Lepisosteus oculatus: one gene and its partners. The protein of the gene in region 2 binds, or shares a complex with, the protein of the main gene of each other region. Links are inferred from orthologs where the notes say so. Each region holds a gene or a part of one and is shown on either strand. Other genes may lie near its edges.

Region 1 (7,834 bases), on a different chromosome or scaffold from region 2:
GGTTTTACATGCCATCCAAAGGACAGGAGCTCCTACAGCACAGTGTCACTTTGCACAATACAAGAACATGACTGCTGTTTGTTGTCGTAGTGAGGACCAGGAGCTGTGGCTTTGTTTTGTGGCGCACACGACAGGAAGAGAGAGTTCACTCTTGAGTTGCTAGAAAGAAGACCTTCATGTGCTTAAACAACAAGAGCACTGCTTTTGTCACAAGATGCTCTTCAGGCTTTTGAAAACCATGGAAGGCTGAGAACAGATGAATAAAATCACCTTTTTCTGAGACTTTATGGAGATCTTGTCTCTCGCACACCCACACCAGCATTTCTCCAGCTCCTCTCTGAAGTGCAGAAAAGATCTAATTTGCACACTAAAGCTTTTATATAGTTACACATTATGTCATTTCCAAGTACTTAATTTGTAATCTGGGTCCCCAGTGGAATTTCCTGTGCCAGTTGTGACACCTGGTTTTTCTTTTTTACTTATGGTGAAGTTTGTCTTGTGTTATGAGTTTGTAAACCAAAAAATGTATACGGTACAAACTATCGCTGCCATCTGGAGGCCAGATCTTGGTACTGTAGAACGTGAACCTCCTGTCCCAAGGTGACTTGCAGTGACAACCTCCTAATTCCACCCACCAGGGGTCTTCGGTTATTCTCACTGGATGCTCTTTTTTAAGTCACTGGGAGATCTTCAGGCGATTGCATGGTTCTTGCTGTGTATGCATTATTTCATTTGTCAGGCAATGAATACACTTTATTAGTTTGTGTGGTGGGATTCTGAAAGAATATTGATCTGCTCCAATTAAAAGTAGTCTTAAGTATTTGTTGGATGTGAGGACATCAGACGTGATTCTTATGTTCTGACCATCAAGTAACACAGTCGCTTGGGCCTGTCTTCAGAATTATGATTAACTTCACTTAGACTTACAGCTCGGCAAGGGGAAGTTTTCTTTTTACACAGACTGAGGAGATTTGTCAGTCTCAAAGCTAGAGTGGAGTTTCTCAGTGTTTGCGTGGAAAACTATCAGTGAACCGACACTACCGAGTTCCTTTCCCAAGACACGGGGTCACCCGCAGCCCCGAGACTCCTGAGGAGCCTGGGCATGACCATTGTGAGAACAACTGTTGTGAAACAAAGAGACTTCAGATGAGGAAGTGTTCACAGGCATTCCAGCCAGCTGTGGGCTCAACATGCAGTCCACAGGGGACGCAGACTGTGATCATGTGCTCTTTTTTAGTCTGTGTACATCTCTATACATCTGTGTGCATCTTTGTGTCTCTGGTAGGGGTGTACATTTGTGCTTGTGTGTTTTGTTTGTATACAGTATGTGAATGTCTGTGTGCTCAGTCTTGGTGTGTGTATGTGAAAATAGTAACCTTTTCTTGAATTGGATATTCCTGGAAATGTTCCATGTTGTAATTATCCCATGACAGAAAACTTTCTTTTCCCAGATTGGACATTTGGCAGACATACGGTATGTAGTTACAGTATAGTACCCCTGAGTAGCAGTCTGTCAGCCAACACACTGTGCTACTCTTTTGTCACGAGGAGCTCAATATTATTTTCCATGAAATACTCAGTGTCTGGTGTGCATATATCACTGTATTAAATTAACATGTATTTGATAACATACTGCAGTTGGTATAGCCCATTACAATTCTCATCTGCAAATTGTTTTTCTTGCCTCTCTTATGAAGTAATATGGAAGTAAAGGGAACCTGTGTACAGTTACGTCTTATTTGCAGAATAAGGAGAAAGACAATAAGAAAGAGCAGTAGACTCTCATGCCAGTCCTGTGTAAAGCCAGCAGACAAACTGAGTGGGAAAAAATAGCTTGGGATCAACTGACAGTGAGTACCTGTCACAGAGGAATGTATTATTCCATAAAACTGTGGTGGTTTTAACAGGCTGCTGTCTTCACTGGTGTGAATTAAATTTATTGATAAGGAATGTATTTCCTGATGTCAAGCTGTTTAATGTATTGTAGTGAAAGGCTCTGTATAGTTAGAAAATAATCTACAGAAGAGTTGTACAGTATAACTGTGAGGCTGCCTTTCTAGTAAAATGTCTTACTACAACTGTTTAAGGGGAGACGGATCACAGATGTTAAAGTATTCAGGAAGTCAGGCATCGTGGGGCTGAACAAGGAGGAAGAAAATGTGGGAAATATAGACAAACCATAGATTGGGGGTTTGGGGAGGAGGAGAGTCAAACAACCTCTTACTTACAAAGCATTTTTAGTATGGGTAGATTACCTGTTTAAGATTTGCTGAAAGGCTTTAGCTCACTCAACCGAAACCTGAATCAGAGTTCTACGCTGCGGGAAGTGTATAGGAGGTTTTCTGAAACCATGCAGGAAAAAATGAGCCTGGCTCCGACACTACAGTTTAAACAGGGAAGTGACTGTCTGTGAGTAGAGCCTTGGAAATACAGTTGTCAAATTATTCAAGGGGAGATTATCCCCAGAATGAGTGGTAAGACATCCCTCAGACATCAGTCCGAGCCACAGTTAATGGGTCCTGACAGCTGTTCCCCCAGAATTGGAAATAGACAATGAGTTAGAAAACAGGTACTGCCAGTGAAGATAGCATATACTGAAGTAATTGTGGTCAGGCTGTTGCAGGGATTTAAAAGCATCTGTCATAATGTACTCTAATAACTTTAAAGTATATTGTAACCAACCATTCAATGTAAATTAAAAAATTCTGTAGATCCACAAATTTTATGTATATCTGTTGTGCTGGCGATGATTCCTAAGATCTTTGACGTTGGTGTTGTGCCCTTTATTAGGTCTATTAGGTCTTTTAGGTTTCAACTCATATATGGGATAAGTGTGAGAGAATGCAGGCTTCATGAACATTATACTTAAACCTTAGGCTATTAATGTAACCTGAAATGGTTAAGGGATACATTATAAACTTAAATTGCTTAATTTGCAATAACCGATTTCTTAACCATAAGAAATCATTGCCTCTGAACAGTTTTCTGTGTATAAAGAACAATTTGTTATTCAGCAGTGTCTGGTGAAGTTCAACTATGTTGCAATCTTCTCGTTTCGCTGAAACTGTATTCGAGGTATGAAGTTATTAATGCTACAGTATATCCTGTTCTGACCTGCTTGCCCCTGTACATCCCTTGGGGTTTTCTGAAAGGCTCAGCATCGCTGTTATTTCCACACTTTAACAACTAAGCACTAGTACTGGACTCTGGCTCATACGGAATGCTGCTTAGTAAATATTTCTGATTGTCATGGTTTTGTAGTATGTTTTTAATGTTCCCTTTCACTTACACTCACCTGTGCTCAGCTGTACCTACAGTATGCTCAAATCTTTTTTCTTAAATATTGTTCTTACTATAGTTTACTGCCCTCTCAGCTTGAAGTCACCATTTGATTACTCAATTGGCTTGCCAGTATGGACCCTGCACCCTCACAGGACTGCGGATGGTCACCTCTGATGCTCACTTGTAAGCCATGTGCCAAGCCAGTGAGTCACAACGCTTCGAGAGACAGTTGGCACCGGTTGACTGTCAGGACTGCAAACTCATGGGCAGGTCCCAGAGGCGGCAGCTGTTGACTTTTCATTGGCTCAAGACCATCCAGCAGTTGGAGTCTGACCAGTCATGAGCTAGTGCCGAGAAAATCCCAGTCCCGTTCAGATGGTTCTGGGCTTAATGCAGTGCTGTCTTGAAGACTGGACTCGGATGTCACATCGGGTTCATGGGTGTGAATCTTTCTGCAGGGGAGCATTTGAAGTACAGAAACTGCCAAACAGTTTCTGTTTCAGGTGGTTCTTTCGGCTCCCCTTTTTCCTGTAAGGTCCCAGCAGATCTGACACTTCTGGAAAACTAGAGATGGGTTTCCCTGCAGCATACAAGTGGAACTGTTCTAATTTAATTAGAAAATAAGACACTGAGATGTAGAGAACTGTACAGGATTGATTTGTCTATGTGGACATAAGAGCTTTATAAGACCTGGCTTTCTATGTTAAGTTCTTTGGACATGGCCGTACAGGGAATAAGAGTCCACATTTTGTTTCCTGTGATAATGAGGTTAAATGAAGTTTTCTTGGTTAAAAGCGCACCCCTTGCTAGCAGCTGAAACCCATGCTTAAGGTTTTGTTTCTTTGTTTCAATTTTTTTTAAATAGCTTCACTTCCATGTTTGATTTAAAGCAATCTGCTCAAGTTGGTTTGCTTTGTGTTTCAAAACGCACAAACTGAACATTTGGAAAGAGCTTTAAAAGCGTTTGAGAAGTCGAGATGCAAAATGAAAGCTGGGCCCTTTAAGCCTTCTTTCTCCTTTTTGAGAATGAAACCTTTCTCTTTGGTCAAGCTGTAGCTCTGCACATTTGTCATCAGTGATTGGCAAGGGGAATGGGTAACTGTAAAGCAAACTTTTCCAGCCAGTGCATAAACACCAGAGTGCAGCAGCCAGTCACACAGCATGCCCTTATCTACCAATGGAATGCAACAGCTGCGTGGGGGGCCCTGAGGGTGGGCCTGCCGGAACCCCCCTGTCAGACCCCCGCCCTCCCTCCACAGGCTTCTGAAATGCTGCTCAACTAAAAAGTGTGAGAGCCAGAGAGAGGGACTTGGCTTGGCTACACACTTAAAACACAGAGAACAAGAGAGGGAGAGAGGGGGAAAGAGAGAGAGAGGGAGTGGGAGAGAGTGTTCTGAAAGGCAGGAATAAAAAGGAAGAAAGTGAAGTAGGGGGGGTTGAGTTGGAAGGGAAAGAAAGAGAGCAAGAATAAGGAGGAAAACAAAAGAAAAAGGGGGCTACCAAATGGCTACAGAGGAGACTGCCGGGGGAGCCCGCAAAGCTACGAAAAGCAAACTGTTTGAGTTCCTCGTCCACGGTGTGGTGAGTAGGTGCTGGCTGGCTGGGGTAAGAGCTGGGTTGCTCTGTGTGTGCAAAGCTTGGCAGTCTGCATGCGTGAGATAGCTGGGAAAGCCGTGTGAAGGTTATTTCCAGCCTTGAGTCGCGTACCGTTTCTTTTTAAAGAAGAGAGGGGAGGGAGGGAGCTGTGGGGAAGCAGGGGAGGTGGGTTTTGTAGTCATTAAAAAGAGAAAGAGACGCTGCTCCTTGGTCGCTTCCAGAAGAGCATGTGGAGTGCCTACTGCGACTGGCCTCCACAACTTGAGTTCTGCTGCTGCACGCAGCACACCTGGACAACTGGGGAGCCCCCCTCAACCTTTTAACCAGTTTAGATGAGACCAGTTCAAGCCCCCTTAATGGTTCAGTCTGGGAAGTGCAGAGGAAGGTTTATTGCCTTGAGAGGCTTATCAGAGCAACAAAAGTGGGCACAAAAGCCTTGTGCTTTGTAAAGAGTAGGAAAGTTTAGGAACAATACAAGTGGAATGCTGGAACAAATGGACGTCAGCTCTTAAGATCTGGCAGTCTGGCATATTGTCTTTTTGTTTGTTTTTAAGAGAAAAAATAATAAACTGCGTGGGAGAAGGTCAGTATACAATATGCTGTAGTGTGCTACTGTATGCATACTGTGTCAGGATTCAGGAGCCGTGTCTTCTAAGAAAACATGCCTAGTATGTTCCAGATTGCCTGACAGATTTTGTACAAGATGAAAACTCTTTTGCTACAGTAAGAGGAACCTGCTTAGTGCAAACACTCATCCAGCAAGCCCAGCAAACAATGTTGAGCACACATTGACTTTATTTGTGGGCCACCTTGGTGCTTGTCTTAATTAATTATGATAAACAAAGTCTTGCAAAAATAAACGTTGGTTTCCACCATGCTGGACCTGAAGAGCAGGGCATCCCTGGAGCCAAAAAGATTTAGAGAAACTCTGAGTTTCTTACACTCAGATGTCTCCTGAATAACAAATCTGTTCTGCTGCAATAGAAGCAAATGAAATACAAACCGTCTGGCTGTCTGGTTAGAAGAATTTAGAGACAAATTAGAAATTAGAGGTGTATGTCTACAACTTGCTATTGGTTTCTGATGCAGTTCTTTGTTTGTTCTTCTTAGATTGTTCTGTGCTGTCATAAATATTTCATTACAAACAGGGTAACACCTGAAAGAGAAAATGAGGAGAGGAGGTACAGCATGTTAGGCTTACCCTAGATATAGACCACCTCATAGAGTTCTCAGCTTCGTGTGACACTAATCAGCCGCCTCTGTGCATATTCCCTGACACTGTAGTTTGAGAAGTCTCTTCAGATGCTATTTTTGCAAGAATAAGTAGTCAGTATGACACATGGTGTGTAACTTTTACTTTTTTATTTTGGAATCTCCAATTATTTTCTTATTTATATTCTCCTATGTGAAATTGACAGAAACCAATATCCATTGCCCTGGTTCAGCAGATTTTGGCAGGTACATTGGTTTCATTGAGGAGAAAGTAAGTGGATGCTTTTGACATCCAAGTGACAAACCTGGAGACCCTTGTCAGGATCTTGCCATCCCACTGTTTCAGGTTGTAATGCGTAATCTGAAACACCACATGTAAATCACACGGGAGATGATTAGTCGTCTCTGTGCCATTCTCAATTTGTGTTCTATCTCATTGATGCTGAGCCTTGGCAATACCAGTCACTCTGAAAAGATCAGGTTAGTTTTTTGCCGATGTAGGTCGTTTAACTCAGGCATTAGCCTTCTAATCAATGTCACCCGCTGCTTCTCTGGAAAAACCTGTTTTGAGTTTGAGAAAAGCTTTTTTGGGATATAATGTTAACTATTTTCAGTATGGTTGGGGATCAGTTTGCTAGTTCGGCGTGGTTAGCTAAATTGCTTGTTTAGAAATGGTTACATAAATGACACGTCACTAAGGGCAAGGAAGGTCAGTGCCTTTCCTTCAGCTTTCTCCATGGCATGCTTTCAGCCAGTATGCATGAGTAAATAGGACCTGTGCACTAAAATGAGTGAAGTCAGGTGAACCACTAACGGCATTGATGCCCCGTTCTTCTTTCTCACCTTTCACTGAATCTATATGTTTGGAAAACGCTTGTGCGACTCGATGGTAAGGAAAGACAGATCACATCGCTGCTTCTTGTCTTTTCATTGTGCTATAAAAGAATAGACAAAGTTTTGCCTGTGGAGCCCTCTTCAGGTTACAGCATTCCTTTTCCTTTCAGCACAGAATAAACCTTTACCTATTCCTTTGCAGCCTACGCATGCTATTCATAGTTGAGCTATCCATATTTTGCTTTGTCTACATTGACACACAAGTTGTTTATTTTAAAGTGTGACAGGGTCAATAGTGGGACTGCGTGTCACAAACAGCACGGAGGCACGCAGACATCGTTGCATTCCCATGCGCACCCGATCACTCACTAATAAACTTCAATCACCTTGTCTATTTAAACTTCCACTTTGCAACTGTGGAACATGCAGCTGTGGCCCCTCCAGTGGGTGTGATAGTGGCAGCCTGCCACATAGTTACAAATATTACGAGTTGGTCATCTTGTGTGTGGCACCATGTACATTCAGTTGACCTTGTGAACTTCAAAGATGAAACTTTTGAATCCAGACCCCTGTATTCATAACTTTTATCTTCGTTAAATTAAGCAAATCAAAGAAAAGACGAAAGTTAAAAAAACCAAAAAACCAAACCAAACCAAAATAAAATCTCTTCTCTGTTCTGTACATCATCATTGCCATCTCTGCCAACCACATGAAGACTAACTATCCTAAATGTCTTGGGAAATACAAAGTCAGGATTTCAATAACCAAGTCAGCCTGTGATATCCCTGACATTATCCCCAACAATGCAAAATCTAGAACTCAGGTTTTATTAAGAGTCATAATAACTGTTAGTGGAGTGATGTTTTTATCATATTCTTCTATGTTTACAGTAACTGTAGCATGAAAACTA
Region 2 (8,416 bases):
CAGCAGTGTGACATGGACAACTGGAATTCAATTTCATAACATCACACACTACAATTTACATCTTAGTAAAAAATGGACATCTATCCACTTCTATAAATAATCTAATCAGTTGTGCTATGCAATTAGAACCCTAAATTCAAATTCTCGATGAGAGGATTTATTTAATCTTTATAATGTGCAATCAATCTAAGACCCTTTATCAATTATCTAAAGCCACAACAATCTCAAAATTAATTTTCACTCCCTGAAAAAGAACAACCTCTGAGCTATACTGTAATTGTTAATAAAATTAAAATGAACAATTCTGATAACTTTTTATAAAGTTAGGAGGCTTTAAAAAAAAGCATTAAAAGCATTAAAGTATAGCATCCAGATGGTAGAAACTATGTGGGGGGGAAATTCCACTAAGTAAACTATTAATTTATCCTAATAATAATATATGAATGAATGGTTTACTTGGTGAATACACCCAAGAAATACAGAATTACTTGGATTAAAAAAACTGAAAAAGTTCTAGTTCTAATAATTGAAACTGCTCAAAAGCTTATATAATGAGATGTGGATGTTATCACTAATACGGATTAGAGAAAATGGACATTAAGGTTTTAAAATTATTTCCCCGTCCAGTCAAACAGATCCATTTCACACTCCATCATAACCAAAAATGACCTGTGACTATTAAAATTATTGATCAAACTATCAACAAGATGCGCCCTTACACAAATACAACCATAAACACTGAACAAAGCTGGAAGATTTTTTTTTATTAATGACATATACTAAGTAAGACACTGGGGGGAAAATGTAACATATTAAACTGACCATTATCAATGACAAATTGACCTTTTACAAGCATCACAGAAGATAGTTCTGGGATCAAGAGAGGCAGCATGCCTGAAAGTAAGCAATGTGTGTTGTTAAGATGTTTCTGTTATCTTCAGAGTGTAAAAGTATATGAGCTAATCAGGGATTGTTGTAGCATTACATCAGATGCAATTATAAATGGCCAAGAGCAGAGGATGGAGAGCCAATCAGATCTCAGCTAGCATGTCAACCTAAGACCAACTGTCTCCTGGCTTTGACAGAAGGATTTTACCTCCATAATTCAAATCCCAAAGCAAAGCAATCTGCACTTACTCAAATCACTGGCCATTGTTTACTAGCAGCCTAAGGAAAGAAGAGCCCCGATCTGGGAATGCAGGGACAGAATTAAAACGCCATTCTCCGAGAGGAATAGGAGGTCAATGTAAAAACTCAGCAAATATAGTGTTAAAAAAAACTTCCAGCTCCAACTAGACGTTTATAAAGCCAGCACTGTTTTAGTATTTTCTGGAATGTTACATGCATTTTACAAGGATCAGGAAATCTTACTGCCATGCTGGGAATTTTCCCCACTATTAAATCCAAATATGCAAATGTAATTAATACAAACGTGCGGATCTATTAGTTGCTATAACCCCCGGACACACCAATGTTGCTAACGAGCGGCTACAGGGGAAACAGAAAAAAAAACCACCCCTGAAAGAGACAGAAAGCCCTGAGAATTACACATTTTAATTACCTTTTAAGCCGTCCTGCCCTGCAGATAAACAACACGCGAAACAAAAAAACGCCTTTCGCTGTCATTTTACCTCTTTAAAAGTCGCCTCTCCTTTTAGCCCGACCGCCCAAACTTCGACTTTTCACCGCCGGGCTCGGAAAGACGACGATTCGGCTCGACCAGCCGCTTGTTTTTACTAGATAAACGCTGTTAGAGGAGGTGGTGTGGAGAAAAAGCTGAGAGGCAGCCATTTTAGAGAGTCTGAGAGAGAGAGAGACAATGGCAGGTCCATTGCACTAGGTCCTAGTCTACACCATTACAGAGGGCTGCGAGTGTAAAACACAGCCAAGCACCGCGGGCTCCGAGGCGAATGAAACTTTACCTGATTTCTGCTTAGTGGTTGCCCAGTACTTCCCGGGCTCATAGGCGGCGGATGATGGGTCCTTTGTTGCCAACCCTGGTGGCCACCATACTGACTGCTGCTGCCCACGTCTACTGGTCCCTTGTTAGCTCCTTCCTGGTTACTGTAGTCGCTAGGGGGGTAGTTCTGGTAGCCCCTCGTCGAGCTGGGAGAGGTCAGGAGCTGGTTTAGGGTTGGGGTGGAAGTCGGCTGCGGGTTTCCCATAGTATACCTCTGATTATTGTAAGTGACAGCCATAGCTGTAGTTCCTCCCGCTGGCGGCGGCGGCTGCTGCTGCTGCTTGGCTGGCTGCCCCCCAGCCGCCGGAGGCTGGTTGTTTCGCGGGGAATTCATAGTGTACCCTTGGCCGGGGTAGGCAGTCCGATTGGGGAATGGGCTGTAGTTGTTAAACTGGTGGTTGGGGAAGCCGTGGTCGTGCGAGTTGGGCTGATAGGAGTCCATCATGCTGCCTGGCTGCACGGCCGGCCCCGCCGCAGCTGCCATGCCAGGGCTTTGTTGTCCGCCATGTTGATGAAAAGGGCCCCGGCCGTAGTGCGGGCTGTAACCGTAGGGTGGTGGAGGAAAAGCGGCGGGGTGGTGGTGTGCCATCCCGGGGTGGTTATTCCCTTCGGGAGCTCCTGAATCATTCTGGTTATTATTATTGTTCACCCTGGACGGATTCCCGTTCCCGTTCTTCATCTCCGGATCCCCTCCTCCCCCTGCATTTCCACCATCGGCCCCGTCCTGTAGCTCCTTCTGACCCGGGGATCCACTCTCCGATCCCGGTTCCTTATTTTCCTGCTGCTTCTCCCCCGGTACCGGCTCCTCCTGTGGGTCCCGATCCGCTTTTTTCAGTTCGGACGGCGGGCTGGTGTTGAGAGTGGCGACGCTGGCGACCTGAGCGGCCATGATATTCCTCTCTCTCTCTCTCTTTCACAGCGAGTCAGTCACAATCAAACACTCAATAGCATTGAATATAAATACAATTATTTATAACAATTTACCCGTGTCCCGGCTCATTCCCCCCTAACACCGGACCGAATCCGGGCTCCACTCCCGGCTCCGATGCGAATTAAAAGTTATTGAAAAAAAATAAATAAAAATCCCGGGAATGAAATTAACCGACACGGAATGTGGGGGGGCTTCTGTTAGAGAACGAGACTGAGAGCGAGAAACTGATCAAACCAGCACGAGGCTCCGCGAGACACAGCCATTTTACTGAGGCGCGCAGAGAGACGCAAAACCCGGACTGGAGTCCCGAGACGGGGTGGAGCGGGACTGAGACTGGAACTCGACCGGGGTGTTTTGAAATCACAACAGCAATAACATTTATCGCAAAGTGGATGGTAGAGGGGGTGGCGGTGCAGAAAATAAGGGAAACGCAGACGTCGGCTTTAAAAGGTGCCGTATCCTGAGAGGCCCCTCATGCTTTAATTGGGCCAGTTCAAAAGAAAACATGAATATTATTTTTTAAATCCCATTTTCCTCTTCAGGAAAGGGGTTGTGTGCATTGGAAAAAACACAGTCAAGATAGAAATCAAACAAGTTCACGTGTGTCAGGGTGTGTGTTTGGTGCTGGGTGGGGGAGAAGTGTTATATATTTGTTTAAAAAAACAGAACGGGTACTGTAAAAGAAACTATCACTGCGGGCACAATGGGAAGCCTATTTAAAACAACGCATACCGAATGGACGCGAACCAGGATATGGTTACACTTTATCTTGCGCCCGTGTGAAGACAGGGGGTGTGTGGATGTTAAATGTCCTGCTCCTGTGCGCTCAAAAGCAGGAGTGAACTAGTTGCCGTGGACGGTTCTGTGTAAATCTTCCGCGCACTGCGAGCATGTGAAAAGTGCGACTGTGTGCACAGAAACACCCGATCTCCTCACAGAGGCGGCATGGAATTACAGCGAGAGAGCGAGGGAGGAGGGGTGAGCTGTGGACTGAACCAGTCACAGAGCAGGAAGTGATACAGAAGGCAGGGGTGGGGGGGGGAGAGATCCGCCGCAGTAGCAGCTACAGTCCAGAATACTATTTCTTAAGAAAACAATGCATAATATTCCGACTGTGGCTTGGCTGCGCAGCAAAAGGAGAAGGGAAAAAAAAAACTAAATAAATAAGCCTCCGGCTCTCTTAGCGTCCCGGCGCATTTAAAGAGATCGAGCCGCCATCCCCGATCCGCGCACACACACACACTCACACCCTCTCGCTCTCCCCACCCCCTCCCCGCGCTCGCGGCCTGTCTCTCCGGCGCAGACGCGCGCACACAACTTCGCCTCTCCAGCGCGGGGGGATGGGCGCGCGGGCGCCACAGCGCCTTCCTCGCGCGGGGGCCTGACCTCGTCCGGCGTGCGGAGGAAGGGGTTCCCCTCGGCCCTCTGGCGGGGAGGGGGGATAAAACCAGTGGCTTATTATTTGCGTTTGGCGGGGGTAAAAGAAGAGGTATAACCCCAAACCCTGCCTAGTCAGGACGCAGGGGGGAGGAGGTTTGGGGGAAACTCATCCCAACGTCCCCAACTCTCTCTTCCCCCTCTAAACTCGTGTCTCAATGACCTGTTTTTCTTTTCCACCCTTTTTTCTCTCTGCACCCGGGTTTGTTCGCTTAAATCCCTCTGCATCCCTTTTATGTGTCGGCTGTCTTCCACGGATGACGACGACAGAGGAGGCCATGGAGGAGGGAGGGTGTTTCGACGTCGATTTTGCCCAACGCTTTCCTCCCCCCGGCCTGTTCCGTCCCTGGTCCCTACCCCGCCTCCCTCGCTTGCCACGCGTTCGCGCCGACTTCCCCGCCGTCCCCCGCGAGCGCGCTGCGGACCCTCACCGGGCCGGGACGCGGCACTGCGGACCCTCAGCGGGCCGGGCCGCGGCACTGCGGACCCTCAGCGGGCCGGGCCGGGGCACTGCGGACCCTCAGCGGGCCGGGCCGCGGCACTGCGGACCCTCAGCGGGCCGGGACGTGGCACTGCGGACCCTCACCGGGCCGGGACGCGGCACTGCGGACCCTCAGCGGGCCGGGACGCGGCACTGCGGACCCTCAGCGGGCCGGGCCTGCAAGCCCGACAGGTTGTGGCTCAGCGCGAGGTGCACATCTGCTCTGCGGACCAACTTGTTGAGGGCCGAACTGCCGGCAGCAGCGAAGGTGTGTTGTGCCTCTTCGCGCTCGGGGGGCCTGGGGGAATGAGGGCGGCTCCGATGCCCGTTGGCCTCGTTTTACCACAAAAAGCCGCGCGGGCCGGCAACGTTTTTCACCCCACCAGCCCCCTCAGCTAGCTCACCCTTCCGACTTGACTCGCCCCCCCCCCCGCAAACTTCCAGACGCCGTGACGTGTCGGAAATCAAAACGCCGGACAAAAGAGATGGTTTTTACATGGTGTTCCTTGAAAGTTTTGACATATTTTCCTCACAAAAGGACCGAACGTCCGTTGTCTTCGGCTGGGGCTAGGCCGTGACGCCGGGGGAGGTTTTGACAGCGCGCCGCCTCTGTGACTCCTCTCCTCTGGCCTCCGAAAGCCAACTGCTTCCCCAGACAAGAAAAAAAAGAAGGTGTTCCCTTGTTTTAATTTTGGATCCAACTTTCGCGTGAGCAACGGTCGCACGAGCTGACAGAAACCCCTGTCCTGCAGAGAATAAGCTTCCCGGACTTTGAAGGGTCTTGCGCTCTTCTAGAAGAAGAAAGGAGAGTGAGGCAAACCAGGCATCCAGTTGGCCAGGTGGAGAAATAGAGAGGAACTTAATTCGTTCTTGGTGTTAAAATCAGGGACATAACTGACAGCCCAAACTGCAGGACAATTTTCATCACGTTGGCATTCAAGTTAAATACGTCCATTAAGGATTTTTTTTAAAGCCACAGTAAGACAAAACAACATCTAACGATCGTTCACCACTTTGTCTGTTTAGGTGCCTTTGCAGAAATTATTCTCTACAAAAGAAAGGAGACCGTTCTGCAGGATAAGCAGAGGACAGCACAATTCCCCTTTGCATGACATCACACTGCGCTCAGATCACACTTAAGTGGTTAACCCAGCCCCAGTTACTCACACTGTTCACATTAATAGCAAAGGTAGAATCCCTAAGGCCTTCCACCTCGTGTGTCTCAGCAATCCCACCGGGATAGAGCACATGGCACTGTGAAGGAATCCGCAGGATTGTGCCCCAGGAAAATTGAATGTTCCAAGCCTATAAATAAATTGGATTTGAAGAATATATAATATTAAGAACATACAGTATATAATCTACCAAAAAATATGATAAGCCTGTATTTGCACAGGACATCAAGGATAAGAAACCTGGCAAGAGGCCTTCTGAATTGCTTCTGTAATGGTTCTTGGTGTTTCCGCCCTTGCCACTCCTGCCCTGCCAGTTCGTCCCTCACCGCCTGGGCACGAACCCAGGTCTCCGGCGTCATGCAACAGGGAACTTGACGGCTGAGCTAAAGGAGAGCTCCCTCAGCCCGGGTGGCTGAGATCCCTGTTATACGCAGGGGCATATTCGTTACACTTGGACGAAGGAAAAAAAAAAACACACACACAGCATTGTAACTCTTTCATGAAGGGTACACCACACCATACAACAACATGCATGAAAACCATACAGCAAACTGAAATTTCACATAACTTGACAGGACTGCTGCCACCGACCTGCCCCTGCAGAAAGTTCCTGTCAGCTCTCCAGTCCTTCATATCCACCTGACTTCTCCCTAGAAGTCCAGAGCTCTGATCTTGGCTTTCTGCTGAAACTGCGTCTCGTTACGAACCGGTACAAAATAATGATGGGCCCATAATGGAATTTGCACCAGTGGTGGTAAAGGATAATGCGTGTTGTTTTATCGTATGGTGCAGTGCTTGTGAAGGATGGTGTTTTTTTTCACCATCGTATGGGAAAAGCATTGCCAAATTTGCCAGAAAGATCAATAACCTAAAACTGAGAACTAACATCAAAGAGCGTGGGTTTGGTACAAACGCTGTACATGACATTTTTCCATGCTCAGGCCTATATCCACTCTCCAGGTCCCTGGACTTGACACTTAGCAGCGAGCTCCTCAGGTATGACTGGTCATCGGTTACGTGCTGTAGGCTGCCCTTCTCCCTACCGTTTCCTGCTAGGTTAGGAAACTCAATCCGTCTTCCCACAATAATGATTAAAACATGCTGACCGAACAGCCTCTGATCTTGCCCCCCGAGAAAATGACGAATGTATCACATTCAGGCCTCCACTGGTACAGGGCTTCTCTAACGCAGCACTCCTGAAACTTTGCCAAGGAACAGAGGCCAAAAGCATGCCTGTCTCGAACATGACACCCACCATCACCCAGCTGTAATACAAACCTGATACCAGCTGTACTCAAACATTGGCCCAACAGTGACTGAAGCAAGGCCTGGTCGTGATGGGGAGGGATGCAGACTCTTTCTGTCCCACGGTCACAGCTCCCTAACCCTGAAAGAAAACAGACTGTGTTTCATACCGCTGACAGAGCAGAGCCTGCTGGCCTTACTCACAATGGACATTCACTGCATAAATAAGGGGAAAATTCTGCAATCACACAAAGATTACCAGAACCCTTAATTACACCAATGAAACAAAAAAAAACACTAACATCTCTTTCACTCTGAACTGAAGAAAATAAAAGCAACAGCACAATAGTGGAAAAAAGTTTATTGATGATGGATCATTATTTTTGAACTCTGTGTTGTGTTTTTTTTCCCATTGGACTAAGTCTGGGAAAGGAGCCATTTAATTACTAAGACAGCCAGATAATGTGGAATGGAATTTCCTCACGAAAGTGGAATAGGGACTGGTGATATACGGACGCACACACCCACAGCATGTAAACACACACACACACACTTTGGGCCTCGTCCAGCTTGTTGCTTGAGAGGCGACGCACACTCTGAAGTGTGATTAGGAAGGAAGTGGCACTCGAGGGACTGGTCATTCCCAGACACACTCAAAGCATGGAGCACCGCCACACAGCCTCACCTGGAGCAGATAATCGAGCTCTTCACATCCGCAATCTGCAATTAACAGATCGACACCACGGACAGATCGCGTGCACAGATCGGATAACCACACAAAATGATAAGGGGCAACAGTTATCATCAAACCTCAGAATTCTGTGCTGAATTAGTGCCTTGCATTGTTTTTTTAAACAACAACTTTGCAAAAACATCCCCTCAAAACTTAAAAGAGTAGAAAACAAACCAGGGAAAAATGCTTTAGGGTCACACCCATATCCACACAGCTGTATTTCTGTCAAGTCAGGACATCTGCACTGCATGAGTGATTTCAGGAGATGCACAAACACATTTCAAGCACAGCACATAATAATAATAAGAAAGACTTCCATCTCCTCCATTGCAAATAAATGTTGTGTATCCATACAGATCCAAAGAGACTTAATTGTGCTAGAAATGTCTCTCTAAATATTGTATATTTCCATAGCATGTGCCTTTCTGTGTGTATATATACACTCATGGACATA
Region 3 (7,995 bases), on a different chromosome or scaffold from region 2:
GCACGGCGGTCTTGCACAGGAAGAAGGCTGGGATATTGTAGTGCTCAAAGACCAGCTCCGTCAGCTTCTCCCTCTTGGCTCGCGTGTTCCACTGGCACACACACACACAGAGCCAGTAACATCAGCGTCATTCTCAGAACCCGCGGGCTCAGCACACAACCCAACACTTGCCGCCACCAGCACGGCTGTTGTCAGCCACTACCACTGGATTCGGCCCTAGTCCTCTCGGAAGCAGCTGCGTTCCTGGTAGCGCCAGTGGCGCCAGACGCGACCAGAATGAGAATGAGGAGCGGTATTCCCCGGGGCAGCGAGGGCAGTTTTGGCGGTACGAGCGGCGCTGTGCGGCTGAGGGCCTGAGGAGCGAGTACTCACAGGAGCCTCTGACATGAGCACGGGGTGCAGGCTGGGTTCTGACTTGACGTGCTTGCAGTACGTGTGGTCCAGGATGGCCTGGAAGCTCTCCCAGTCCTCAACTGCAAACAAACAGCATCGACAGCGCCGGCGTCATTAGCGTGACCGCTGTAGGAGCAGGCCTGGATCAGTACTGCAGTGTCTCAGTATCCGTACATATCAGCTTCAGTGTATTACCAGTACCTGATCATGTCAATTTCGGTGTGTACCAGTTTCTGTACATACTAGTCTCCATGTGTATTACTATCATATTTCAAATCTCGACATAGTTTCAGTATATATAGATCAGTACCAGTATTATCAGTATCTGTACATATAATTTTCAGTATAGATAAGTATACGTATGTATCATTTTCAGTTCAAAGCATATTAGTATGATTATGTATTGATATATAATTAATATTTTATATATTAATTGTATATTAATATGTAATGATATTATATATTGAGTAGGACACATCAGTGCAGACTGCAGGAGCGACACTCGGAAAGAGTGTTTTCCCCGGCTGGCCACTAGGGGGAGCCCCCCTGTGGTTCGAAGGTACATGGCTCCTATTGATGAAGCTGCAGTGGGGTCGTGGGCAGGCGGCATCACGCACTCATGCCGTTCTTCAGCGGGGACACCAGCTCCACCCCGGGGCGGGCCACGTGCAAGGCGTTGGTGTCGATGTAGAACGTGCGTCCTGACGACTTCTCCTTGTCCGCCCCCAGCTCCGCGCCCCCTTCCTCCTGGGCCAGCACTCCCAGGGAGGTGGGGAAATCCGCCTGGGCAGAAGGAGAGAGGGAGGGGGGGGTGAGGTGAGGCCAGCGCGAGAGACAGAGAGGGGGAGGGGGTGAAGGGGACAGTGGGTACGAGGTGAACGGCAGTGCTGCTGGAGGAGGGCCAGCGAGGCAGCTTGACCACTGCAGCGCAGTGGGGCTGGGACCTCACATGGCAAGAGGCCATGGGGAACGCCCTGCTGGCGACGTGGACAAGTCAGGCTCACGCCAGGGCCCGCCGTGCGGGGCTGTAACAGCGTCCAGACAGAGCCCAGCCCTGAGGTGCCCCCTGGCGTGCACTCTTGTGAACCACTTTTCTCATAGTCCCAGTTCTACACGGATCACGATGCACTGCTCGGGGGGGGGGCGGTTTTTCACTGCGTGCTGGAAGGGGCTGACTGGCACTGGAAAACCAGCAAGTGTTCAGCTTATCCTCCGGGCAGGAATGGCCAGGGCGGAGAGAGGGGTGAGCGGGCAGGAGCCGCGCGGTACCTTCGGGCAGTCCTCGCCAGCGTAGCCCGCCCTGGTGGAGAACGAGCCGATGTCAAACACCAGAGCCCCGACCTCATCTGGGGAGGGAGAGACAGGGAGAGGGAGTGAGACAGGGGCACTCCTGGAGACAGGGAGAGGGAGAGACGGGCAGAGAGGGAGTGAGACAGGGGCACACCTGGAGACAGGGAGAGGGAGAGACAGGCAGAGGGAGAGAGAGACAGGGGCTCACCTGGAGACAGGGAGAGAGAGTGAGACAGGCAGAGGGAGAGAGAGACACCCCTCTCTCAGCTGCAGGTAAGGAGGTGTGGCTGCTGAGCTCTCTGTCTCGCTGGGACCAAGTGGTCCTCGAACCCTGAACCCTGACAGGAATCAGCCCCATGCTCAGCTCCAGACGATCCTGCCTGAACCTGAACCCGGGGACCCCAGCCTGCTGGGTGAGTGTTCCCACTCGTCACTGGTCCTCTGCAGTTTAGCCCAGTTGGACATGACTGGAGCAACAGTCACAGGCTGGGCAAGGGACAGCGGGAGTTGGGTTGCTCAATAGCCATTCTTTCCCCAAGTCATCCGGATGATTTGGAGGGATTCCAGGGAATCTCCTTCAACAACAACAACAACAGCGCTGGGGCTGCTGTTCCACACCCTCACCAGCCTTTGTGTAAGGATGTGCTCCCTGTTCTCAGGCTTGTCTACACATCCTGGTGGGGCTGCACATTGGTGGTGGTGGAGGGGAGTCCCCATTACCTGTAAAGCGCTTTGAGTGGAGTGTCCAGAAAAGCGCTATATAAGTGTAAGCAATTATTAATTATTATTACACATCCGGTTGTGCCGTCGTGTTCCTGACATAGAACAATGTTCTGGGTTCAGGCTGTCAGCAACTGACAGTTGAATTCCTGAACAGCCCCACCTCATAGTCCCCTACAGCGCTGCAGACCACTGAAGAGACTCCGTTCCTTTAACGCATCTGCGGCCGACATTCCCCAATCCCGACACCGTTTCCCCACACGCGCGTGTCGGGATGGACTTGACCCCACGGAACCGTGGCTTTTCCTGCGATGGGAGGTCACCCACGCGGGTCCCCATCCCCTCGCGGGTCCCCCTGTGTCGCCGCACGCTGCCCCGCTCGCCCCCGGACCCGGCGACACAGACCCCGCCACTGGCGGAGACCCCGCTGACAGCAGCGCCACGCACACGGACACAGTGGACAGGCAGTGGAACAAAGACACGGCCGTGGGCACGGGTACGGGTGAAGGCGCAGGCAGCCGCGAGCACCGCTCTGGACCACAGACACCGATGCGGACACGGATGTAAACACGGGCACGGAGGCAGACGCGTTCAGCAGTATATCATCCTGCTGCTCAGCCTCTCGAGTCTGCATTCCGGTGTCGCGATACACGCCAAGTGTCGCACGACATGGACGCGGCGAAGCTCGCGTCCGCCCGCTCGCTCTCTCCCACACCCCCTGTCTCGCTCACGGGGGGGGGGGGGGGTTTATCTCCCAGCCTCGGTCCTCAGGTGTCACCCGTCTCGGAAACGGGTTTTTGCGCGCAGACGAAACGGTCGCTCCTTACCTCCTCCGTACACTCCGCCGCTCATACCGGCGCCTAGACCCACCCCCCCACAAAACGAGCTGTCACATCAATTAAACAGAAACCTGAAAAAAAGAGACAGGAGGTCAGGACAGCTCGGATTTGATCAGATATCCCTAATGCGTAACTGTCGGGTGAAATTACAAAGATCTGTCTGTACAGGAAGGATTTGGGGACGGGGGTCTGTGGATGACAACTGTGCAGAATAAGGCGAAGCTGGACGGCTGAGGCTCGCGCCCCCCCCTCACGCACGAGCACACTCGCTCTTTCTCCCGCTGTTGTTCTTCCTCAGCCCACCAATCACAGCGCCGTGTGGACGCACGCCATTGGGTGGCAAGAAGAAATGGGTGGGCGGACAGGCTGTACCTTAAAGGTTCTGGTCTCCAAGGCAACGAGAAGAATTAATTTCCCCCGACTTCAATTTGCCCGTATTATAACAGGACTGTTCTCCTGTACTGGGACTGTAGCCCCTATTGTAACAGGACTGTTCTACTGCACTGGGACTGTAGCTCCTATTGTAACAGGACTGTTCTCCTGTACTGGGACTGTAGCCCCTATTGTAACAGGACTGTTCTACTGCACTGGGACTGTAGCTCCTATTGTAACAGGACTGTTCTCCTGTACTGGGACTGTAGCTCCTATTGTAACAGGACTGTTCTCCTGCACTGGGACTGTAGCTCCTATTGTAACAGGACTGTCCTCCTGCACTGGGACTGTAGCTCCTATTGTAACAGGACTGTTCTCCTGTACTGGGACTGTAGCTCCTATTGTAACAGGACTGTCCTCCTGTATTGGGACTGTAGTCTCTATTGTAACAGGACTGTTCTCCTGTACTGGGACTGTAGCTCCTATTGTAACAGGACTGTTCTCTTGTACTGGGACTGTAGCTCATATTGTAACGGGACTGTTCTCCTGCACTGGGACTGTAGCTCCTATTGTAACAGGACTGTTCTCCTGTACTGGGACTGTAGCCCCTATTGTAACGGGACTGTTCTCCTGTACTGGGACTGTAGCTCCTATTGTAACGGGACTGTTCTCCTGTACTGGGACTGTAGCTCCTATTGTAACAGGACTGTTCTCCTGTACTGGGACTGTAGCCCCTATTGTAACAGGACTGTTCTACTGCACTGGGACTGTAGCCCTTATTGTGACAGGACTGTTTTCCTGTACTGGGACTGTAGCTCCTATTGTAACAGGACTGTTCTCCTGTACTGGGACTGTAGCTCCTATTGTAACAGGACTGTTCTCCTGCACTGGGACTGTAGCTCCTATTGTAACAGGACTGTCCTCCTGTATTGGGACTGTAGCCTCTATTGTAACAGGACTGTTCTCCTGTACTGGGACTGTAGCTCCTATTGTAACAGGACTGTTCTCTTGTACTGGGACTGTAGCTCATATTGTAACGGGACTGTTCTCCTGCACTGGGACTGTAGCTCCTATTGTAACAGGACTGTTCTCCTGTACTGGGACTGTAGCTCCTATTGTAACGGGACTGTTCTCCTGTACTGGGACTGTAGCTCCTATTGTAACAGGACTGTTCTCCTGTACTGGGACTGTAGCTCCTATTGTAACGGGAGTGTTCTCCTGTACTGGGACTGTAGCCTCTATTGTAACAGGACTGTTCTCCTGTACTGGGACTGTAGCTCCTATTGTAACAGGACTGTTCTCTTGTACTGGGACTGTAGCTCATATTGTAACGGGACTGTTCTCCTGCACTGGGACTGTAGCTCCTATTGTAACAGGACTGTTCTCCTGTACTGGGACTGTAGCCCCTATTGTAACGGGACTGTTCTCCTGTACTGGGACTGTAGCTCCTATTGTAACGGGACTGTTCTCCTGTACTGGGACTGTAGCTCCTATTGTAACGGGAGTGTTCTCCTGTACTGGGACTGTAGCCCCTATTGTAACAGGACTGTTCTCCTGTACTGGGACTGTAGCCCCTATTGTAACAGGACTGTTCTCCTGTACTGGGACTGTAGCCCCTATGTAACGGGACTGTTCTCCTGTACTGGGACTGTAGCCCCTATTGTAATGGGAGTGTTCTCCTGTACTGGGACTGTAGCCCTTATTGTGACAGGACTGTTCTCCTGTACTGGGACTGTAGCTCCTATTGTAACAGGACTGTTGTCCTGTACTGGGACTGTAGCCTCTATTGTAACGGGACTGTTCTCCTGTACTGGGACTGTAGCCCCTATTGTAACGGGACTGTTCTCCTGTACTGGGACTGTAGCCCCTATGTAACGGGACTGTTCTCCTGTACTGGGACTGTAGCTCCTATTGTAACAGGACTGTTCTCCTGTATTGGGACTGTAGCTCCTATTGTAACAGGACTGTTATCCTGTACTGGACTGTAGCTCCTATTGTAACAGGACTGTTCTCCTGTACTGGGACTGTAGCCCCTATTGTAACAGGACTGTTCTCCTGTACTGGGACTGTAGCTCCTATTGTGACAGGACTGTTCTCCTGTACTGGGACTGTAGCCCCATGATGGGCTCAGAGTAAGTTTGGTTTATCATCGCGTGGTTCATTGGCACATTCTACGTCGATAGCCGCATTCCGTCCCCTCAGTGGTCATCTCTGCCTCTGATTGGACAATTCCCCCTGTCAGTCTGGAACAATGCGGTCGTGGTGGGCGTGTCCTGGCAGACTCCGAGAGGAGGCGGACAAGGAGGAAAAGGGAAGAGGGGGGCGGTGTGGAGCAGAGGGGGAGCCGCGAACACTTAACCCCTGCGGCGCCGGAGGCAGGTGACGCGGTGGGTGTTTTTTTTTTCCGGTCCCGCTCCAGAGGAGACGGGGAGGAGGAGAAGGAGGGGGGGAATCGGTCACTCTTGTCCTGGGGTGGACGGTCCCGGGAAAGGCCCCCTGTGTGTGAGAGAGGGAGAGAGGCACGGGCGCGGATCAGGTAAGAGACGCCGGGCGCCGGGCAGCGAGATGACGAGAGGAGCGCAGTCACTCGCGGATCGATACGGGTGCTGCCGCGGTCTCCGTGGGCAGACCTGTCAGTTGCTGCTCACGAGTGGGCGTCCGGCTGGATTGGAAAGTCCGACTGTGTCCGGATCGCGCTCATTATAAGGAGAGCAATTGGGCAGGTGGTTATTTTCGGGTGGGTGTGTATTATTTTCTGCCAGGGTGTCCCAGTCCTGCAGTCCCGTAAATACGCCGCTATTTCATCACCGATTAAAAAGGCGACGCTGTGCTGGAGTGCCCCTCGCCTCCGGCCCGGCCTGACCGGCTGCTTTCTCGCTCCGGGGCATCAGTATCCCTGACGGGCTGGGGCAGATCGTGTCTCTGGGTCCCTCCTGCTCCAACTGAGGGTCCAGTGATCGGCAGTGTGTGTGCATGTACAGTATCTGTGTGTCAGTGTGTGTGAATTCTGTGTGTGCATGGTGTCAGTGTGTGTGTGAATCTGTGTATGTGTGCATGGTATCAGTGTGTCAGTGTCTGTGAATCTGTGTGTGTGTGCATGGTATCAGTGTGTCAGTGTGTGTGTGTGAATGTGTGTCAGTGTGTGTGCATGCATCTATGTGTGTGTATGCATGGTATCTGTGTATCAGTGTGTGTTTGAATCTTTGTGTACATGTACAGTGTCCATGTCAGTCTGTGTCACTGTGATCATGTATATATCTGTGTCAGTGTGTATTTATTTGTCATACTTGTCAGTGTATGCATGTATCTGTGTGTGAGTGTTTGTCCCTGTGTCAGTGTGTGTGTGTATCTATTTGTGAGTGTATGCATGTATCTGCGTGTGAGTGTGTGTGTCTCTGTGTCTGTGTTGGTCTCTGTGTCAGTGTGTGTTGATACCCATGTCACTGTGTTAGTGTGGATATCAGTGTCAGTGTGTGTCTGCGTCAGTGTGTGTCTGTGAGTCAGTGTGTGTGCACCTCTCTGTGTCAGTGTGTGTCTGTGAGTCAGTGTGTGTGCACCTCTCTGTGTCAGTGTGTGTCTGTGTCAGTGTGACGGGAGGCAGATGTCTCACAGAGTGCACACAATGGGTTGTTCTCTGTCTTTCCTGTAGGGGGCAGGGTGAGGAGCAGTGGTTGACAAGGCTGTCTGACCCTTTATCGAAGGGCCACAGCTTTGGAAACGGGTGAGGTGGGATGGGGTGAATTGGAAATCGATTATAGCGCCCCCTGCAGAGAAGGAATCCTGCATATTTCTGGAAGGCTGCTCTGTGATACCTCTTCCTTCTCTTTTGTGCTCTGGACATTATGCTCTCTGTATACGCGAGGCTGTGTAGACTGAGAGAGAGGTGTATTGGAATTTGTGTTTCTGTGTCATTGTGTGTTACCATGTCTGTAAGTGCATCGGTGCTTGCATTTGTGTATCTGTGCACTTGTGTATGTCTGTGCGTGTGCATGTCTGTGGGCTTGAGTGTGTGTGTGTGTTGGACTGATTCTCTCTCCTTCCATCAGCCTCTGCCCATCCATCCAGCCTAGAACCATCGCTAAGGCTGTTGCTAAGCAACCCAGCCTCCGTTACTACACTCCCTAATGAGGCAGCCTGGAGAACTTGGCAGGTGGGCCATACCATTACTGAACAGGCAGGGGGGGGGGGAGGGGGGAGGAGTGTGCTGCTTCTGAAAATATAGGAGCTACCTCCCGTCTGCAGTTGCACATGGTCTTCTCATCCCTTCCCAGCCCCCCTCAACTGAAGAGGAGAGGCGATGGTTCATGGAGCCATGCACACAAAGAGGCAGGTCATATACAGCAGTGGTCATGAAGCCCCCCCCCCGTATCAGAAATGCAGC
Region 4 (7,764 bases), on a different chromosome or scaffold from region 2:
ACACTGTAGTGCACTTGCAGGGCATTCTGGCACTGACAATACTTCCCAGTGCTGTAACACATCACTGGATTCACACCGACATTACAAGAGTGTAATCAAACTACCAGTCTGTACCCTCGCACAATAGCATCAACTAACCAAAACAAACATTGAAGCCCTGTGGCATACAAACTACAGCAAACTGCCATTAAAGGGTTTGTGAAACTGATCATTACAAAACATACAGTATCCAATTCCATTCTCCCATTTCAAACATAACTATGAGCTTCTTTGACATTTTCGCAGAACACACCCAAGTCTAAATTTACCACCTAGGAACAGAAAAATATTACCAAAGCACTACAAATCCCAACCATTCATTACTTCTGCTATATAATGAATATAAATATGATTATTCCTGCCAATTAAAAAAAAATCAGTAACTTTAAACATGTGGAAATGAACCATGGTACTCAAGTAGAAATTCAAAATTTAGAACAGGAAGCAGTTCTCTACACGTGGGTTGTGGATATCTGGAATAAGTTGCCCAGCTCTGTTATGGAAGCCAGCATTGTGTCTTTTAAGAAACAGATGTATGAGTTTTTTCATATCACTTAAGTACCAGCAAGCAAACGGGCCAGATAAGGAAAATGACCTCCTTTCGTATGGAACGTCTCTCATGTGCCTAATCTCACAAAAGACACACATAATGTGATAAATATCCACTTTAGATGGAAGACACTTTAGTGTTAGATTAAGACTTTATCATTATAAACATGGATTGCACGGTGCTGCAGTGATTAGCATTGCTTCAATTCTAAAGAGGAGTGGAGGAGCAGTAGTAGAGGGATGTACTGACATACGAACACGTGCATTGGAATTCTTATACGCGTTGATCTCTCGGGACATACACAGCACTACAGACAACACCACAAAATGTACACAGTACATTACAAACATAATAACAGGAACAATAAATATGTTGTGGGACAATAACTATGTAGTAGTGAGAGAAAAACAAAACATGGTAGACTATGCAAAAAGTGCATAGTGCAGATGTGTATTGAGTCTGAGGCATTGCAGTTAGCTGTTGAGGATGCGTAGTGCAGCAGGATAGAAGCTGTTCTTAAATCTAGAGGTCTGTGTTTTAATAGTGCAGTACCACTTCCCAGAGAACAGTCTGTGGCCAGTATGGTTGGGATCCTGAATGATGGATTGGACTTTAGTGCAACAGCGGATGGTGTGAATCTCACTGATCAATGGTAAATCACATCCTATAATCCATCCTTAATCCTAGAAATTGCTATCTGTGTGGAGTTTGTATGTTCTCCCCCGTTCGCACAGCTTTCTTCCAGGTGCTCCGGCTTCCTCCCACAGTCCAAAAACATACTGGCGGGTTAGCTGGCCCTAGGTGCGAGTGTGTGTATCTGTGTTTGTGCCTGCTTGCCCTGCAATGGAGTGGCACCCCATCCGGGGTGTATCCTGTCTCTTGCTTGCTGCTTGCCAAGACAGGCTCTGGCTCCCCTGCTATCCTGAACGGGACGAAGGAGTTAGAAACTGGATGGATGATTAAACATCCCTGGCAAGGCCAGACTGAGCCACAGGAACTCCAGCAGCACTCAGACAAACCCTTATTCTCTCATTGTTCTTACAAAATATGACTGACCACACACTGTGACCTTTTGCATTGGAGGATATTTGCAGTGCGGCCACTGGGCGAGACGCAGACGTATCTATTCTGGAGTACCTACAGAGTCATCCACGAGTTCCTCTGGATGAAACAGTTCAACTTATTAATGAAAACGGTAATCGGACATGTCTATAAAGGTTCAGTCTGGATTGTTGCGAGAAGAAACACAGCCACCAGAAACAATACCCAAAAGCCATGTGAACTAAGATAAAGGTTAGCGCAATCCAACAACCAAGCAATACAAAACTCTTCAAATCATTTAATATCAGCTGATCCACTATCCACCTTTCAGTTCTTTAAGCATAGGAAACGTTACTGACACAGCCACAAGCAAACATCTGTCAAACTACAGCGCCCGGAAGCTCTTTCAGACACGCACTGCTTTAGCATAGATAGGAGAAATAAACTCCCACTTCTCTGCAGTTTAATCCGATTCGGGTTTTACGGGTTGCACTCTTATGCATCCAGTCAAAACCTGGATGTTTCAAGTTGGTAACCTTCCCACGTAAATCTGCAGGGGGGACGTACGTATCTCCTTCAACTCCAAATCGATCAAAATGCATCAAGAGCAGCTTTTGGAGTCGAATTGCAACTACCGCTCAGCAACACGAGATCTGGGCTCATCTCCGCCCCCTTGCTTCGTAGCTCCGTTAAAAATACCAGTCGGCCATCTGTACAAATTGTGATACCACACATACAACCTACAAAATCACACGTCCCCCCCCCCCCCCCACACACACACACTCGCATTTCGATTACGATATCGTGTATCCAGCAATGCCGGCCAAGGCGGTGGGGCTCTCGAAACAAAGCGTTTTCTCTGCTTGAGGAGGCAGGAGACGCAGCTGCCGTGCAGACAATCCACACGGGACTCTTTGTTCGAGCCTGCGGGCTGTGTCTGGACAGCGGCAGCATCCCGGAGTCACACAACTGCGAGGAGCAGCACCACCTGCGGCCGCCTCCACCTCGCCCGCGGCCGGCACGCCGACACCACCGAACCCGGGGCCCTTTTCTTTTTTCTCCGTGGGCTGACTTTGGAAACGAAGTCAGCTGTCACATGCGTGTGGCCTAGGGTTTTGTTTTCCGTAACTGCTGGCCCTCGACCAAAGCTGTACATCAACATTAACCTAAACACACCTTTAGTTTCACAGCGCTTTCCACGGAAATGTGTTTTGCCGTGTCTTTTTGGGTGAGACCGTAATATCTCCCCTAGAGGCTTCAACATTGCCAGGCAAATCCACTTCCTTTGCCTGCTGACCAGCGACCAACTTCAGAAAAACACAAAATTAACACCAATACTTCGATCCATTAACGCGCCACCCTTAATCACGGTTATCTGCCCACCTTTCGTACAAAAATCCACTCCATTATAGAAAGAATTACTTAAAAAACTTGAATTCACCGTCACCCACACAACATCCCTCACCATCAAAACAACTGACCAACAGCCTCGATGCTTGCGTTTAGCGGCTTGCTGGATAGAACGCAAATCGGTTTAAAAAATGAACCGATTTCCCTTGCAATGGGGCCATCTTAAGTAAACCAAACGAATCAAGAGCATTATTACTCCCTCCGCGATTTCACTGCCCGTACAAAAGGCGCCTCTCTGTCGAGCAAGGCGCACGGATGTAGCCGCCGAATCAATGGAGGTGGAAGAGCTTTACCTTCTTGTAGTGCTTTCCGATCCATAGCCGGACCGACTCCAGCTGAGAGACCGTCTCCGAGCTCTCCCAGTACTTAGCAGACGGGCCCCCATCTTTCTTTCTGCCCACCGAGAGAGTCGAAGCACCGCTGCCCCCTTGCCCGGCCGCCGGGCCCCCGGAGCCCGCTCCCCCAGCTGCAATTGCTGCTGTCGCCATTGTTTTGTGCTACTCGCCTCGCTTCCTCCCCAGCCAACCGCCTAGCTCCCAATTCAAGGCCTAGAACCGAACTGCGCAGCCGCCAACCTGCTTCGCAGGGGCTTCCTTGGGAAGGTACTCCCTCGCGGGAGGAGTGAAGGCTAATGGGAAATGTAGTTCACACTCATTTTAGGGACATGTCTGTAATACAATGCTCTAAAATATCTCTAAAAATTGAGGTATTTTAGAGATATTTCACACTTGAAGAAGGCTCCACGGCCGAAACGTTGTGTTCCCTTTCTTATTTTTTCCAGCATGGAATAAACCTATTACTTGTTCCTAAAATATCTCAATATAGCAATCTGGGTTAAATAGCATTCTCCGTCATCTCGCAATTCAGCCTGTATAACAGGATATTTGTTGAGTAGTTTAAGTAGGTAGCTGCGACAGCATGCGTAGGCTGCAAAGAAACAAGTTAAAAGTTTATTCCATGCTGAAAAGAGGAAAGGAAACAACGTTTCGGCTGTGGAGCCCTCTTTGGGCGTGTCGGGGTATTAGTTGAGTATATTGCACTGAGTATTACGGTTGACAGCCATGCAAATGTAAGAAAAAGAAGATATGATATATCAGGATGGAAACTATGAAAGATGTTAAAAAAACACCGCCCTTTGTAGCTATTCCAAAGCAAACCCAAACAAACATATCTTCACAACATTAATTACCTGATAATATTTTGTAATAAGCCTACAAAAATGGATAGTAGGCTACTAAAATATAAAGTTCTTTATGAGCTCTTCTGTACCTCTTGTTTAGAATCTTGAAGAAATCTTGAAGGTTTACAACAATACTTGCAAAATCAATTACGATAAACTCAGAAGTGCTTTTATTGTATCGTACTATTGTAACAAGGCAATATTCATCTTGCAGCTTTAAAGGTAACGGCATATTCCCCGATTGCAGAGTAGTGACAGGCGCCTGCGCGCTGGTCGTCAGTGAGCTGACAGACCTCATACCATGTACAGCACAAAACGCAGAGAGGCAGTGGGAGTGACGGGTAGGACAGCTCCAGTCTCTGCGGGACACGGAGGCAGGGCGGCGGGAGCCTTGACTGTCCTACCAGTCCTGGCCATGCCAACGACCAGATACGGCGATGTATTTTTATTTTACCTGGCCTAAAATGAGCGGCAGTGAAGCGTGTGGGGGAGGCGGGGCAGAGGGGACCCTGCCCAGCGGCGAGTGGGGAAGCGGGGGAGGAGGCAGCGGTGAGCTCGCCGACAGCGACGGAGCTTGTGTGCTTGCTCCTACCGCCGCTGCCGCAACTCCAGCTCCGTGCTGCGAGGGAGAGGCCGGCAGCGCCCGGGCCCAAATGTATAGCGATTGGAATCATGAAGATAAAATCCGCAATAATGTGGACGCCAGCAGTAAAAATAAGGTCGTGCTTCTGGACAATGCCAGTGACAGCAGCGGGGGAAAGCGCGACCGGAGTGCTGAGACTGGAGAATGCGGAGAGGAATGCCTCAGTCTTGCCAATGGAAACGGAGATCTGCTGAAGGGTGCGAGCAGCATTAATATTGATTACAAAACCAGTGGCTCCGAGCCTGGAGAAAATGGGGGCGGACGGAGCCTTGTTATGGCTGTTGCATCGGGGAGGACAGAATGCGCGGAGGGCAGGGGGCTGCAAGCTGCCGCCTGCAAAAGGAGATACAGCAACGGATCCAAGACGGAGAACCGGGTAAGCAAAGTCTCAGGCACCCGGAATCGTGCAATAAATTTGGCCGCTGCAGTCACGAAGCGTCCTGGAAGTAGCCTGAGCAGAGCGCCGAAGAGGGTCTGTTTCACGGGGGAGATACCATCAGCACACTGCGGCATCATCTCGGGCTCTGGAGCCGGCTGCTCGGAGTTGGAAGATCCCTCGTTCTGCTCTCCGCCCATAGAGTTCAAGACCAGCCTGGCCGGTTCGAGGCATTTTAAAAGCCACTCGGAGATCCCCAAGCCCGCCAGCTGGGCTCGCTCTGCCACGGTACACATCTCCAAGCGTGGGAGCAGGTGTGGTGTTTCGAGTGGTTTTGAAAGCCCCGTTACATCGAACAGGATTGGCGTATTCCCATACTCTAGTGCGGCAAAAGACAGCTGTGTTAATTATATTGATAGCAGCAATGGACAGGAGCCCAGAAGTGCCAAAGGCAGGGTGAGACTGTATAGGGTGCGCTCCTTCCTGACGGCCACAGCCGGGTGTAACAGCGCGGGCAAGGGCAGCAGTAATGCGAATGGTTGCCGGGGCCCACAGAACGGGAGCAGTTTCTGCCCAGCGCTCCGGCCCGCCTGTGCTTCTGCTCCAGGGATAAGCAGCGTTTTACACCCTGGGCCCCAGGAGAGCCAGCCTGGGCGGCAGTCCTGCCGGTCAGCGAGCAGCTGCCTTGCCCAGCCCTGCCGGCCAGTTAGTGGGGGAGCGGACGGCATCTCTGGACATGGAAGAAATGATGGCAAGGAGATGTGGGCAGCCAAGGGGGGCCCTGCGCCGCAGAACGGTGTGAGTTTGGGTTTCACCTCAAACGGCGTGAGCAGGGTGACTTGGGTGCCAGTGGCGGCACTAGCTCGGGCCCTCCGGGGGGGAAGACGGCCCCCGGAGGCCCCCAGCCTCAGGGCAGTGGAGGCGGGGGCCGAGGAGGCCGGGCGGAGGCAGGGGCGGTTGGAGGAGCGGACGGAGAGGCTGTGGAGGCGGCTGCAGGCGGTGCAGGGGAAGCAGCTGGAGAGGCACGTGGCCCAGCAGCTGCGCGGCCTGGCGGGGACCGTGGCGCGAGGCAGGAGGGGGGGAGGAGGGGCGCCTCTCAAGCACGGCGCCCTCGCGCCCGGCACCGGCGAGGTGGCCCGGTTTGCGCAGAGCTGCACGGCAGCCCTCAGGACGGTGGAGAGCGCCCTGGACTCGGACGCCACGGCGAGCAGCAGCTCTGGAGGGGAGAGCGAGAGTGAGGAGATCGGGGAGAGAGGAGGCAGCGTCGGCCCAGCTCCGCACACACCCCACACACTGTGAGTAACTCCCCTGCGCCCCAGACAACCCCTGAACCCTGTAACTGCACACTGAGCCCTGCTCCATCCCTTACACTGCAGGTCACTATCATAAGCTCTTGCATGCTGCAGTTACCAACATGCACACATTGTCTTTTCAATAAGCACATAGAGAGGCAGGCCTCAAGATTGAGTTCAGAATAATAATAATAATTGCTTACACTTATATAGTGCTTTTCTGGACACTCCACTCAAAGCACTCTACAGGTAATGGGGACTACCCTCCACCACCACCAATGCAGCATCCACCTGGAAGGCCATTCCTAACTTCCAGCACTTTTTGCCATCACTGAGAGGAACTGTTCCTCAAAACATCTCAAGGGTGACACAGTAGGGCAGTGGTGAGATTTGCTGCCTCACAGTGATGGGGCCCTGGGTTCAGTTCCAGACTTGGGGTGCTATTGGCATGTAGTTTGTATGTTCTCCCCTCGTTGCCATGAGTTTTGGCTGGGTGCTCTGTTTTCCTCCCACGGTCCAAAGACCGACTGGTAGGTTCCATTCAGAGTGTACCCCTTGCCTGTTGCTTGTTAGGATACTGTAGACTCTGTCCCTGCAGCCCTGAATTGGCTGAAGTGGTTAGCAAATGGGTGGATGGATGGAAGGAAAATGTATTTCACTTGTTTCGGTGGAACCTGTTTTAACACATCTCCCTCTAGAGGTAATTTTCTTTTCGCTCTGAGCTGTGTCAAGAGTTGATGCGATGATCTGATAGCTCTTGCTCCAGGAGGTCAGTGTTCAGGCATTTATCCCCGGGTGAGCTGGGGTCTGTACCAGGAAAATAACCTGCTTTTAAAGGCTATGTAAATATCCAAGCACATGAAATGCCTGAGGTTTTGCATAGCTTTTGAGGTAACTAAAGTGATCAAAACTTTAAGTCAGAGCTGTACGTGAAGCATGTTTTTTCCCCTCCCAGTCTTAGAACAGAATAGAAAGAAAAATGGTAATTTGTGATTAGGGTTTAGACATTGGTTGGGGTCTGATATGAAAGCTTCTGTGACTGGATAAACCCTCACCTGATGGACTGGTCTATAGCTTCCAGAGACCCTCTTCAAACTACTGCTGCCATGGCATGAACAGAAGGGTTGATGGTTTATTTTGATCATCTCGGTGTCTTTTTCTATATTTTTTCATCCATTCTTACAGACGTGAAAGGACATAATAAAGGTAGCATTCATGGATATGGCCATGTGA

What was found.
Region 1: AT-rich interactive domain-containing protein 1A (region 2) and smarcd3b share a complex: the UniProt entries of both Homo sapiens proteins name them as parts of the neuron-specific chromatin remodeling complex. The link is inferred for Lepisosteus oculatus from reciprocal best matches to the Homo sapiens genes ARID1A and SMARCD3.
Region 3: AT-rich interactive domain-containing protein 1A (region 2) and actl6b share a complex: the UniProt entries of both Homo sapiens proteins name them as parts of the neuron-specific chromatin remodeling complex. The link is inferred for Lepisosteus oculatus from reciprocal best matches to the Homo sapiens genes ARID1A and ACTL6B.
Region 4: AT-rich interactive domain-containing protein 1A (region 2) and smarcc1a share a complex: the UniProt entries of both Homo sapiens proteins name them as parts of the neuron-specific chromatin remodeling complex. The link is inferred for Lepisosteus oculatus from reciprocal best matches to the Homo sapiens genes ARID1A and SMARCC1.

The regions. Positions count from the first base shown.
Region 1 is NC_090701.1:29,339,533-29,347,366, reverse strand, and holds the start of smarcd3b (SWI/SNF-related matrix-associated actin-dependent regulator of chromatin subfamily D member 3b), read left to right. Parts: upstream 1-4,550; 5' UTR 4,551-4,785; coding exon 4,786-4,863; intron 4,864-7,834. UniProt on the Homo sapiens protein: Involved in transcriptional activation and repression of select genes by chromatin remodeling (alteration of DNA-nucleosome topology).
Region 2 is NC_090706.1:7,219,095-7,227,510, forward strand, and holds the start of AT-rich interactive domain-containing protein 1A, read right to left. Parts: upstream 3,177-8,416; 5' UTR 2,850-3,176; coding exon 1,923-2,849; intron 1-1,922. UniProt on the Homo sapiens protein: Involved in transcriptional activation and repression of select genes by chromatin remodeling (alteration of DNA-nucleosome topology).
Region 3 is NC_090698.1:10,092,753-10,100,747, reverse strand, and holds the start of actl6b (actin-like protein 6B), read right to left. Parts: upstream 3,498-7,995; 5' UTR 3,256-3,497; coding exon 3,231-3,255; intron 1,740-3,230; coding exon 1,663-1,739; intron 1,177-1,662; coding exon 1,011-1,176; intron 474-1,010; coding exon 373-473; intron 92-372; coding exon 1-91. UniProt on the Homo sapiens protein: Involved in transcriptional activation and repression of select genes by chromatin remodeling (alteration of DNA-nucleosome topology).
Region 4 is NC_090705.1:20,049,166-20,056,929, forward strand, and holds the start of smarcc1a (SWI/SNF complex subunit SMARCC1), read right to left. Parts: upstream 3,599-7,764; 5' UTR 3,529-3,598; coding exon 3,334-3,528; intron 1-3,333. Other genes in the region: KAT8 regulatory NSL complex subunit 1, read left to right, coding at 4,658-6,534. UniProt on the Homo sapiens protein: Involved in transcriptional activation and repression of select genes by chromatin remodeling (alteration of DNA-nucleosome topology).